3 linked regions of the Callithrix jacchus genome follow. The protein of the gene in region 3 interacts with the protein of the main gene of each other region in a biochemical or structural test. Links are inferred from orthologs where the notes say so. Each region holds a gene or a part of one and is shown on either strand. Other genes may lie near its edges. The genes, in order: THBS1, SERPINF2 and PLG.

What was found.
Region 1: the proteins of PLG (region 3) and THBS1 form a complex in vitro, tested with the Homo sapiens proteins (2 studies listed by BioGRID). The link is inferred for Callithrix jacchus from reciprocal best matches to the Homo sapiens genes PLG and THBS1.
Region 2: the proteins of PLG (region 3) and SERPINF2 form a complex in vitro, tested with the Homo sapiens proteins (2 studies listed by BioGRID, with this or other methods). The link is inferred for Callithrix jacchus from reciprocal best matches to the Homo sapiens genes PLG and SERPINF2.

The regions. Positions count from the first base shown.
Region 1 is NC_133509.1:47,076,193-47,080,431, reverse strand, and holds the start of THBS1 (thrombospondin-1), read left to right. Parts: upstream 1-1,332; 5' UTR 1,333-1,481; intron 1,482-2,076; 5' UTR 2,077-2,122; coding exon 2,123-2,189; intron 2,190-2,468; coding exon 2,469-3,028; intron 3,029-3,892; coding exon 3,893-3,968; intron 3,969-4,239. UniProt on the Homo sapiens protein: Adhesive glycoprotein that mediates cell-to-cell and cell-to-matrix interactions.
Region 2 is NC_133506.1:66,495,283-66,498,931, forward strand, and holds part of SERPINF2 (alpha-2-antiplasmin), read right to left. Parts: intron 3,174-3,649; coding exon 3,030-3,173; intron 2,887-3,029; coding exon 2,683-2,886; intron 1,686-2,682; coding exon 1,543-1,685; intron 1-1,542.
Region 3 is NC_133505.1:167,360,785-167,363,687, reverse strand, and holds the end of PLG (plasminogen), read right to left. Parts: intron 1,749-2,903; coding exon 1,603-1,748; intron 963-1,602; coding exon 801-962; 3' UTR 578-800; downstream 1-577. UniProt on the Homo sapiens protein: Plasmin dissolves the fibrin of blood clots and acts as a proteolytic factor in a variety of other processes including embryonic development, tissue remodeling, tumor invasion, and inflammation. In ovulation, weakens the walls of the Graafian follicle.

The sequences.
Region 1 (4,239 bases), on a different chromosome or scaffold from region 3:
CCTGCCAGATTTAAGCACTAAGATGGGAAATGAGCCCCAGGGGTTTCCCCCTGCCTGTGCTGCGATCCTTATTTGGTCAAGCTTCTACCTATGCCCTGGCCTCGGAGCCAGCCAGATAGCCTGGACCAAAGCAGAGGGAGCGAGGCTGCTGACGTCCCATCCCGAAGAGATGAATGGAATTCCAGGCAGCTGGAGTCATGCTGGCTTGGGACAGTGGCTTGGAGACCAGACTTCAATGACAGAAGCACTAGGCAGCGGCACTCATGGCAATGTGTGCACCCACAGAAACGTAACTCACACCTCGATTTCAGGAGCCGAAAAATGAAAAGAACGTTTAGGGAGGAAAAAGGGAAATACAATAATAAGCAGAGGGTAATTTATTACTCTATGGGTCTGTTCTGTAAATAGTTGAAGACTCTGGAGCCAGATGGTTCTGCAAATTCTCCAAACAGGAGTCACGTTAAGAAGCACGAGTGGGCACAAAAACTGTTTTCCAAGACACAATTTCAATTTGGCTTGAGGAAACTGGATACGAGTAAGTTTCCTTAAAATTCGAGTAAAGAGCCGCTGTCCTCCCCGGGCCCCTTGATGAGAACACGCATACCGCCCCCAAGCGGCCGGCCGAGGGAGCGCAGCGGCAGCGGGAGAGGCGCCTCCGTGGGCCCCGGGTGGCCGCGGCAGGAAAGCTTCCGAAGGCGAGCGCCGCGCACCGCCCTGCCCGCCCGGCCGACGCCGAGCTCACCTCCCGCCAGGGCGGGCGTGCGGCCAGCCCGGGACGGGGGATCGGGGCACGCGTGGTCCTCACCCCACCGGGACGGTGGAGGAGGGTCAGCGAGGGCCCAAGGGGCCGCTGCTTGAATGAATGGCTCTTTCGGGGTCCCCTGCGCCCCGTCGGCCCATTTTTCTGGTCACAAAACGGGCCCCCTGTCCCATGTACCCCTCTCAGCCCTCGCCCAGGCAGTCCGGGAGACAAGCTCGCCCGAAAGCCCCCGCCCCACCCCGCGGGCCCTGGGTGGTCGCCGCAGCCCAGTCCCTGCTCGGGATGCTCGCTGACCGCCCCGGGCCCGCGTGGCGCAAGAGCGCGAGCGCCGAGCCCGTGAGCGCCAAGGCTGCGTGGGCGGGCACCGACTTTTCTGAGAAGTGCCAGTGCTACCAAGCCCCGACCCCCGCCCCCTTCACTTTCTAGCTGGAAAGCTGCGCGCCAGCAGCGGGGGGCGGAGAGGAGCCCAGACTGGCCCCCTCCCGCTTCCTGCCCGGCCGCCGCCCATTGGCCAGAGGAATCCCCAGGAATGCCAGAACTCCTTTAAAAGCGCGCGGCTCCTCCGCCTTGCCAGCCACTGCGCCCGAGCCGGCCTGCGAGTTCAGGGCTTCTGCAGCTCTCCCGGCGCTACCTCCACTCCGGACGCACCGGCGACACCCCGCCTCTGCAGCCCTCGCCGCCCTCGTCCCCGCTCCTGGCCGCCGCGCTCCGGTCCACACAGGTAAGACGCCTCCGCCGAGGACCAAGGCTGCCCGGGCCACCTACCTGGAACGCTGAGGCTTCGGTCCCTTTGGTGGACCCCGGATCCCACATTCTTCCCCGCTCACCTGCCCCAGCCCGCCCCTCCCGCCCGCTGGGGGACTTTTCAGGACAAAGCTCCAGAGCCATCCTCTCCAGCCTTGGGGTTCACAGACCACCTCATCAGGACACACCAAGATTTCCTTACTGGTCTTCCTTAAACCTTTGTATTGGCAGTCCAGTTAACAGTCTGTACTTTCCCGTGCCCTCTCTGCAACCACTACGGCTCCTGATCTGGTTCACCTTCGACTTCCCAGAAGCCCCCAAATTGTTGGTCTTGCGCCCCCACACTTTAAAACCAGCATCTCTTTCCTCCACTACTCACTCTCACACTCTCTCTCTCTCTCTCTCTCTCTCTCTCTCTCTCTCTCTCCTCTCTCTCTCTCTCTCTCTCAAGTAATCCTGTTGTCCTTCATTCAGCAAAGAGGGATGGCCCCGGCCCCATGCCCAGCCCAGTTTCTTTTTCTGCCCACCCTCCCTGCCTAGCTGATCTCTGACCCTGGGCTCTTGTGCTGCAGGATCGTTCCTGCTACAGGATCCCTGCTGGGCACCAACAGCTCCACCATGGGGCTGGCCTGGGGACTAGGCCTCCTGTTCCTGTTGCAAGTGTGTGGTACCAACCGCATTCCAGGTGAGTTTGTGTGGCACCTTTACGGGAAGGAGGGATGAGGATGAGGTGCTGGCTACCCCAGGTGTGCCCCCTGACATGCTGTTCTCTCCCAGCTCCTTTTCTCTTGAGCCAGACTGGACATCAGGAGGCAGCTTCCCTCTGATCCTGGTCTTTATTCAGCTCTTTCAGTGGTTGCCAGGAGTTTCCACCCCAGCCCTTGCTCCCCACCCCTAAGGACTCAGCCCCCTACTGCTGGTCCCAGCCTAGAAATCTCACTATATGTTCTCTCCTGTCTAACAGAGTCTGGGGGAGACAACAGCGTGTTTGACATCTTCGAACTCACCGGGGCTGCCCGCAAGGGATCTGGGCGCCGACTGGTGAAGGGCCCTGACCCTTCCAGCCCAGCTTTCCGCATTGAGGATGCCAACCTGATCCCCCCTGTGCCTGATGACAAGCTCCAAGACCTGGTGGACGCTGTGCGGGCAGAGAAGGGTTTCCTCCTTCTGGCCTCCCTGAGGCAGATGAAGAAGACCCGGGGCACGCTGCTGGCCCTGGAGCGGAAAGACCACTCTGGCCAGGTCTTCAGCGTGGTCTCCAATGGCAAGGCGGGCACTCTGGACCTCAGCCTGACGGTTCAAGGAAAGCAGCATGTGGTGTCTGTGGAAGAAGCTCTCCTGGCAACCGGCCAGTGGAAGAGCATCACCCTGTTTGTGCAGGAAGACAGGGCCCAGCTGTACATCGACTGTGAGAAGATGGAGAACGCTGAGCTAGACGTCCCCATCCAAAGCGTCTTCACCAGAGACCTGGCCAGCATCGCCAGACTCCGCATCGCAAAGGGGGGCGTCAATGACAATTTCCAGGTGAGGCTTCTTCTCTGAGCCCTGCTACATGGGATCATCTGCTAGACAGGTGACCTGCCAGGAGGGCTACAGGAAATCCTGAATGTAAACTAAAGCAGCAGTTCTCAGATTTTAGGCAGCATGAGCATCACCTGGAGGGCTTGTGAAAGCTCACACTGCTGCACTCCAGTCCCAGAGTTTGGGATTCTGTAAAACTGCAACTCAATTACAAGTACCAGGTGATGCTGATGCTGGTGGTCTGGGAAGCACACTTTTAAAACGACTCAAGGAAACAAGAAATGGTTTTCCTTCAGCAGTCAGCCTGTTCAAACGTTAGATACTCCTTAAGCTCTTAAGAAAATCGCTTATTTCATATGCATTCCCCCAATTTTAATCGTTTGAAATTGATACTTTCTATGGGCAGAATCAGTACCACTTTGCTATCGGAGTTCTCATGGGGATGCAGCCAGTCTCACACAAAAGGTTAAAATAGCAGTGAGCTGTTGCTGTTACAGCTTCTTCTGTGCCTTAACTTCTAGATCTTTGCAACTGTGGCTTTGATCTCCCATATTTAACTCTTTGACACTGGGACGTGTCATTATATCCTCTGGGCTTAAGATCAGATTCCATTTCCTGTGTACCCAAGTAGACTGATAACTGAATTCTTTATAAAATACTCAAGACTTGGCAGAAGTCGCAATTAAGATGTTGAAGTTTTTTGGCAATTTATGTTGGTGTGTTGTTTTGACACAGTGATCTTAAAAAAGCTCTCTGAAGCTTTTAGAATATCTGTTGTGTGCTTTTCCTAGCACAAAGACAGTCTCCCCCAAACCCATCCCACATCCTCTCAGCATTCTACATGTAATGTGTGTCCTCTGTCCACAGGGGGTGCTGCAGAACGTGAGGTTTGTCTTTGGAACCACACCAGAAGACATCCTCCGGAACAAAGGCTGCTCCAGCTGTGAGTACTCCTTTATCCTTAGGGCTCATAGGGAGATGGGGGAATTCCACTAAAAACAAGGGGAGGAATTTAGCAATAGTGGTTATATGTCAGTTACCCCCAGTAAGATCATTAAGCATACAAAAGAGACCTCAAGGGGTACTGTGCACACACGTACACACACATGCCCACATACAACCCCTCTACCTTCATCCTTCACCCCAAATGAAATGTCTTATACCACTAAGAACTCAAGAGGCTGGTGGGTAAGAGTATTTGAAGTTTTCATTTT
Region 2 (3,649 bases), on a different chromosome or scaffold from region 3:
AACACTGCCATCTCAGCCACAGCTGTCCTGCCCAGGGCTCAATGCCCAGGCCAAGGGGACTACAGTTAGGCTAGAAGCAAGGGAGGCAACACCTGAGACAGCTCGGCACAGAACTTTATCTAATCAGAGCCGGGCGCAGCGGCTCAGGCCTGTAATATCCCAGCACTGGGAGGCCAACACGAGATCCCTTGAGGTCAGGAGTTCGAGACCAGCCTGGCCAACATGGTGAAACCCCATCTGTACTTTTAAAAATACAAAAATTAGCCAGGCGTGGTGGTGCTGTAGTCCCTGCTACTCAGGAGGCTGAGGCAGGAGAATCGCTTGAACCTGGGAGGTAGAGGTTGTAGTGAGCTGAGATCACACCACTGTACTCCAGCCTGGGGGATAGAGCGAGACTCAGTCTCAAAAAAAAAAAAAAAGTGTATAGAATCAGAATGTTCCACACAGGATGAAGGAAATCCAGTCCAATTAGATCCTCCCTTCTAAGGACACTGTGTGAGGGCCTTGTATGAACCCTCATCAACGATGGTCACCTGAGTCTCAGTTCAGTGCCCCTCCTCAAAGAATCCTCCCTGACCACTCTAAACTACCTAAATAAGGCGAGATGTGGTGGTTGTAACGTGCAATCCCAAAACTTAGGGAGGCTGAGGTGCTCGGATCACCTGAGGTCAGGAGTTTGAGGCCAGCTTTTTTTTTTTTTTTGAGACGGAATCTCGCTCTGTTGCCAGGCGCACAATCTCAGCTCACTGCAGCCTCTGCCTCCTGGGTTCAAACAATTATCCTGCCTCAACCTCCTGAGTAGCTGAGACTACAGGCACCCTCCACCACGCTCAGCTCAGTTTTGTATTTTTAGTAGAGATGGGGTTTCACCATGGTGGTCAGGCTGGTGTCAAACTCCTGACCTCATTATCACCCAGGCTAGAGTGCAGGCACAATCTCGGCTCACTGCAATATCTGCTGCCCAGGTTCAAGCGAGTAGCTGAGATTATGGGTGCTCGCCACCACGCCTGGCTAATTTTTGTATTTTTAGTAGAGACGAGGTTTCGTGTCTTGGCCAGGCTGGTCTTGAACTCCTGACCTTATGATTCACCTGCCTCGGCCTCCCAAAGTGCTGGGATTATAGGCATGAGCCATCGCTCCGGGCCAAAATCACCTTCTCTTTCAGCTTTCCCTCCATAGTGCTTCCACTGTCTGGAATTCCTGTGTTGATGGACGTTTACTGTTGCCCTGTGGATCTTGCCTCCCAAGAGCAGAGGCCCGGCCTCCCTCATGCTCCACAAAAACCCTAGTGCTTACAACAGTGTCTAAGCACACAGCAAATGTCCCCTATATTTTCATTGAATTAATGAACCTCAAAGAGCCTGGAGCCTCAGTCCTCCTGCCAGGTAGGAAGAGGGATGTGGAACCTTTTGGAACTGCCTGCCCCTGAGAAGTGGCAGCAAGGAAAGCGAAACACCCACCACCCAGCCCTGTGTAGGCTCCACAGACTGTCCCCTCCACTCCCAGCCTCCCAGCACTCAGGCCCAGCCTGCTGGGGACAACCTGGATCTCAGGCTGCTCCAGTGAGAACCAATGCAGCGGGTACGTGGGGGCATGCATCATCTCCACGGGCACCGTGAACTGCTCATCCAGGTGGAAGAAGCCTCTCTTGGTGAGGCTCGGGTCAAACTTGTTCCTCCAGAAACCTGCAACCAGGCAGAGGCAGGGGTCATGGAGATGGGGCCCAGCCCCTTGCCCATCCCACCCAGCACCCATTCAAGAGGTGGAGAGCGGTAGAGGCCAAGACCCCAGGGAATGTCGGTGGCATCCAGTGGATTGAGGTCTCTTTCCTGCGGGGTTTTGAAATCTGGGTTCATGCTTCCCCGCTACCCCAGCAATGCCCCCAGGAATCTCCCCTGGGTCTTTACAGACCATCTGTTCCCAGGTACTCCCTCTAGGACAACCTCATCTGGCTCCTGGGCATCCGCCCCCACCACACCCAGATGCCCCCTGCCTCATGGCCCAGACAGAGGAGAAAGGGGACCCTCAGAACAAAGCCTGTATGGCCGGGGGCTGTGGCTTACGCCTGTTATCCCAGCACTTTGGGAGGCTGAGGTGGGCAGATCACCTGAGGTCAGGAGTTCAAGACCAACCTGGCCAACATGGTGAAACCCTGTCTCTACTAAAAATTAGCCAGGTATGGTGGCACATGCCTGTAATCCCAGCTAATTAGGAGAATAGCTTGAACCCAGGAGGCAAAGGCTGCTGTGAGCTGAGATTGTGCCATTGCACTCCAGCTTGGGTGACAGAGCAAGAATCAGTCAAAAAAGCGGGGGCTGGGCACGGGGGCTCACACCTGTAATCCCAGCACTTTGGGAAGCCAAGGCGGGTGGATCACCTGAGGTCAGGAGTTTGAGACCCTCCTGGCCAACATGGTGAATCTCCATCTCTACTAAAAATACAAAAAAATGAGCTGGGCATGCTGGCAGGGCCTGTAATCTCAGTTACTCGGAGGCTGAGGCAGGAGAATCGGTTGAACCCAGGAGGCGGAGGTTGCAGTGAACTGAGATCGCACCATTGCACTCCTGGCCTGGGGAACAAGAGTGAGGCTTGTCTCAAAAAGAAAAAAAAGCTTGCACATCCCAGCTCGGCCTATGGCATGGGTGATGCCAGGTGGGGGATGTATGAGGAGGAGGAGCGCACCCTGAAAGTGGATGGCATTGAGGAGAAGCAACACCGTGTCTTCTGGTAGCTGGGAGAGGAACTCCGGAATTTTCCCCTCCGTGGCCTCCTTCACCCACTGGTTGATGTTTGCCAGGTCATCCTCCTGCTTTCCCGTCAGGCTCACAGGCTTTGCACCAAATATCTGTTCTGATTGTTCCAGGAACTCTTCTTTGATGGGAAATCCTGCACACAGGGAGCACAGGCTGTCCCTGGGACTCAGGCTCCACGGTCAGCCATGCTCCTACCCGCTGCCGGAGGCCCAGCCCCTGTCTCTCACCCTCCTTCACCCCAGGTCAGGATGGAGGGTCCCCGGCCTCAGCACCCACCTTTCTGCAGGTACATCCTGGCGGCCAGTCGGAAGGTGCCGGTGCCCAGGCCCTGGCAGAGGCGGCTCAGCTGATGGGGAAGGCAGGGCCCAGGGCCGGCATGCAGCACCTGGTGCAGCCTCTGCAGCGTGTGGTTCTGAGCACCTGGAGGGCAGTGCACCGGCTGAGGCCTGCTGGGGCCCTTTCTCACCCCCACTGCCTGCTCCAGTCCCTCCTGGATACCTGTGATGAGCATGCCCACAGGACCGCACAGTGCCCTCCCACAGCCACGGTTCTGCTCTGCATGACTGAGTCTTTCCCCCGTGGCTGACAGCCTGGGTGACCTCACGTCTCTCAAGTGACCTTCCCTCTCTGGGCTTCCGTTTCCCAGAGCAAAACCCTCCAGCACAATGGGAGAGAGTACAGCTATCAAACTGTCACGTAAAAATCACCAGGAGAGGCCAGGCACAGTGGCTCATGTCTATAATCCCTTCAGGAGGCCGAGGCAGGTGGATCACCTGAGGTCAGGAGTTTGAGACCAGCCTGGCCAACAGGGTGAAACCCTGTCTCTACTAAAAATACAAAAATTAGCCTGGTGTGGTGGCAGATGCCTATAATCCCGGCTACTCTGGAGGCTGAGG
Region 3 (2,903 bases):
CAGGTCATTCTCCTGTGACAGTGAGCGGCAGACTGGTTAAAAACCGGGCAGGAAATGAGCGATGGGAAATAAGGGGTCCACCTTCAGTATTAGCTTGCTGTCCATTCACATGCTCCTGGCACCCGTCCTAGACTCACACGTGCTCCAGAATAACATTCAGACTCTCAGCTGCTCTTGTGTTATACACTCATGGCCCAGTTCACTCCCTGATATACCCCTCTCTGCTCTGGGTCCCCTCTGGGCTCAAGTCGACAGTCAGCAACAGATTTCATTCCCAATGACAGAACCGGCTCTCAGGGCTCTCCGTACATGTTGCAGCTTTGAAAACGTTCGTCTCAGTGTTAGGAATAAAGACAGTGGAAATGTGCGTCAAGCCCTCGTTAGCCGATGAGGCAAATGCGTGGACGACTTCCAAGGAATACTCGGCTCTCCCCTCTGTGACCTCAGCCTTCTCCGTCCTTTGCCCGGCTGTTTCTTATCAAACACAGTCAACCCCCTCAGTCTGCCCATTTAAAATTGGTGGGGTGAACCAAGAACGTGAAAATGTTGAAGACAAAAGCCAAAATGTACTCAAATCAACGTTAAGTACAGAGTTTATTTTTAGCAAATGTCATAGCTATGTCATCTTATTACAGAAACCAGCAGTCAGACAATGATACAAAAAGTGCTGAGGTCTGGCGTAGCTGGTAGCTGGGGACAGTGTCTTCATTTGGTTACTGTCAGTTATTTCCAGCATGCTGAATCCCTGCCCACGTTCCAGCCTCTAGGTGAGTCGATGCTTCACTCTGTCTCCCGTCCAGTTAATTATTTCTCATCACTCCTTCAATCCAAGTAACATACCTTGAAACACGAACATAGACGCCAGGCTTATTGGGGCGTGCACAGCCAAGACCCCAAGAAGTGACTCCTTGTAAAATGTATTTGTCCTTCTCGAAGCAAACCAGAGGCCCTCCACTGTCACCCTATACAGAGGGAGAGAAAAATCCATGTGAGGGCAATGCTGCCAGCCTTTTAATAGGGGATACCACCCTTCTCTTATCCATACGTACATTTTCCCAGTAATTGAAATCAGAAAGGCACTTATGAGCATATTACTTGAGCATCTGCAGTGCTTAAGTACTTGGCAAAGTGTATTCAGCAAAACCACACCACTTAGTTTTTCCTGGGGAAAAACAAATCCCTGTGAATCCTGTGCGATCCCTTCCTATGTTGGGGTTTCCTTTAGACTGGGCTAGCCTGGGCATCCTTGTAAAGTGTGTGCAGTTGGTCTCTGTCCTGTGCCCTCTACCTCCTTCCCTGCTGGAAAAGTCACCACTTTAGTCCCTAGCCACTAGCACACCCCAGGAGGGCGAATGGCTTGAGGTAGTTACAGACCTTATAACTCCCTTGCTACCCATCTGGAACCCGAGCCCCAAGACCTCCCCTTAGATGATCTGAATATGTGTTCAGGCACAGATCTAGGGAGTTTCTGAGCAACACTTAGACTGGGGTCTTTAGTTGACAAATCCTTCTTGAATTTGCCACCTGGGGACTGAAGCCTAGGGGGCTGAGACTGAGACAGGAGGACACAAGACTAAGCTTGGTCTCTTGATCTTTTCGTACCTGGCAACTGTCAGTGCCTCCTGCCAGATGCCCAGCACAGAGCTCGGTGGATTTGACTCTTCCATTCAGAAGCTCGTAGCGATTGCACACTTTATTCTCAATCACGGGGAGCTGGGCTTCCTTGAGAACGCCAACCCCAAAGGTACCTGTGTTTAAAAAGATGAAAGAAATGGTTACCGCTCCCAAAACATGATCAGGAGGAAGTTCCAGAAGATCAGAGCGGCAGTGCTGGGCCTCCTGTCTGTCCAGGAAGCTGCGGAACACAAGGCAGCTCCCAGTGCCGTGGGACCCTCTGACCCTGCAGAGTGTAAACGTCATACACGTCTCTATGTTCCCGAGGCCTGGATTTAACAATCTGGGCTGTGTCATGGTGCTTTGGGGTTGGTTGTTTACTTTTTGCTTTTAAAATTATAAATAATAATGTTTACAATGTAGAGTCTGGAGAATGTAGTTGCTATTGTTGTATATACTATTTTTTCAGACTTTTTATATGCTTCTTTTACTTATTACATAATATTGCAAAATTTCATCTCGATTTTTTTCCCAATGTTGCATCATGAGTTTTTTTTTATAATGCTACAATCTTCATAACTAACATGTTAATGGGGAGCTACTGCTGAATGGTCATGAGGTTTCCTTTGGGGATTAGGAGAATGTTCTGGAAATACGGTGATGGTTGCACAACGTTGTGAATGTACTAAATGCCACTCAGTGGAACCTTCCAAAATGGTTAAAATAGTAAACCTCATGTTTTGTATATTTTATTGCAATAAAAAAGAATAGTCATCATTTACCAAGAATTAACCTTTACGGGCGCAAACTTATAATGTGGTGCATCTCACTTAATCCTCACAACAGTCCTATGAAACAGGGGCTTTTGTCATTCCTTTTCTACAGTTAAGGAAACTGAGGCTCAAAGACGTTGTGTAGTTGAGCTTGAGCCTGGGTCTGCAGAGTCACTGCCCAAATGCTCCCTCCTCGTGCATGTTGGCCCTACTCTTGCTTCCATGGTTCCACATCTTTGTTCATAAAGCTCACTCTTATTCCTTAATATTTTCTGAGCCTAAGTTCCCATAAATCATACAGGCATATTTCTGTCTTACAGTAACACTGCCAAATTATTCTTTAAAAGGGTGTGACAATGTACCATAATCACTAGAAAATAATCGCTTCACCTCACTTGTATGAGTGTTTAAGTTTTAAAATATTAGCTGATCTAATAGGTTGAATTGTCCCGATTCATTTTCCAATTTACACTTCTTTGACAATTAGGGAGAGTGAACATTCTCCTAGTTGTATTT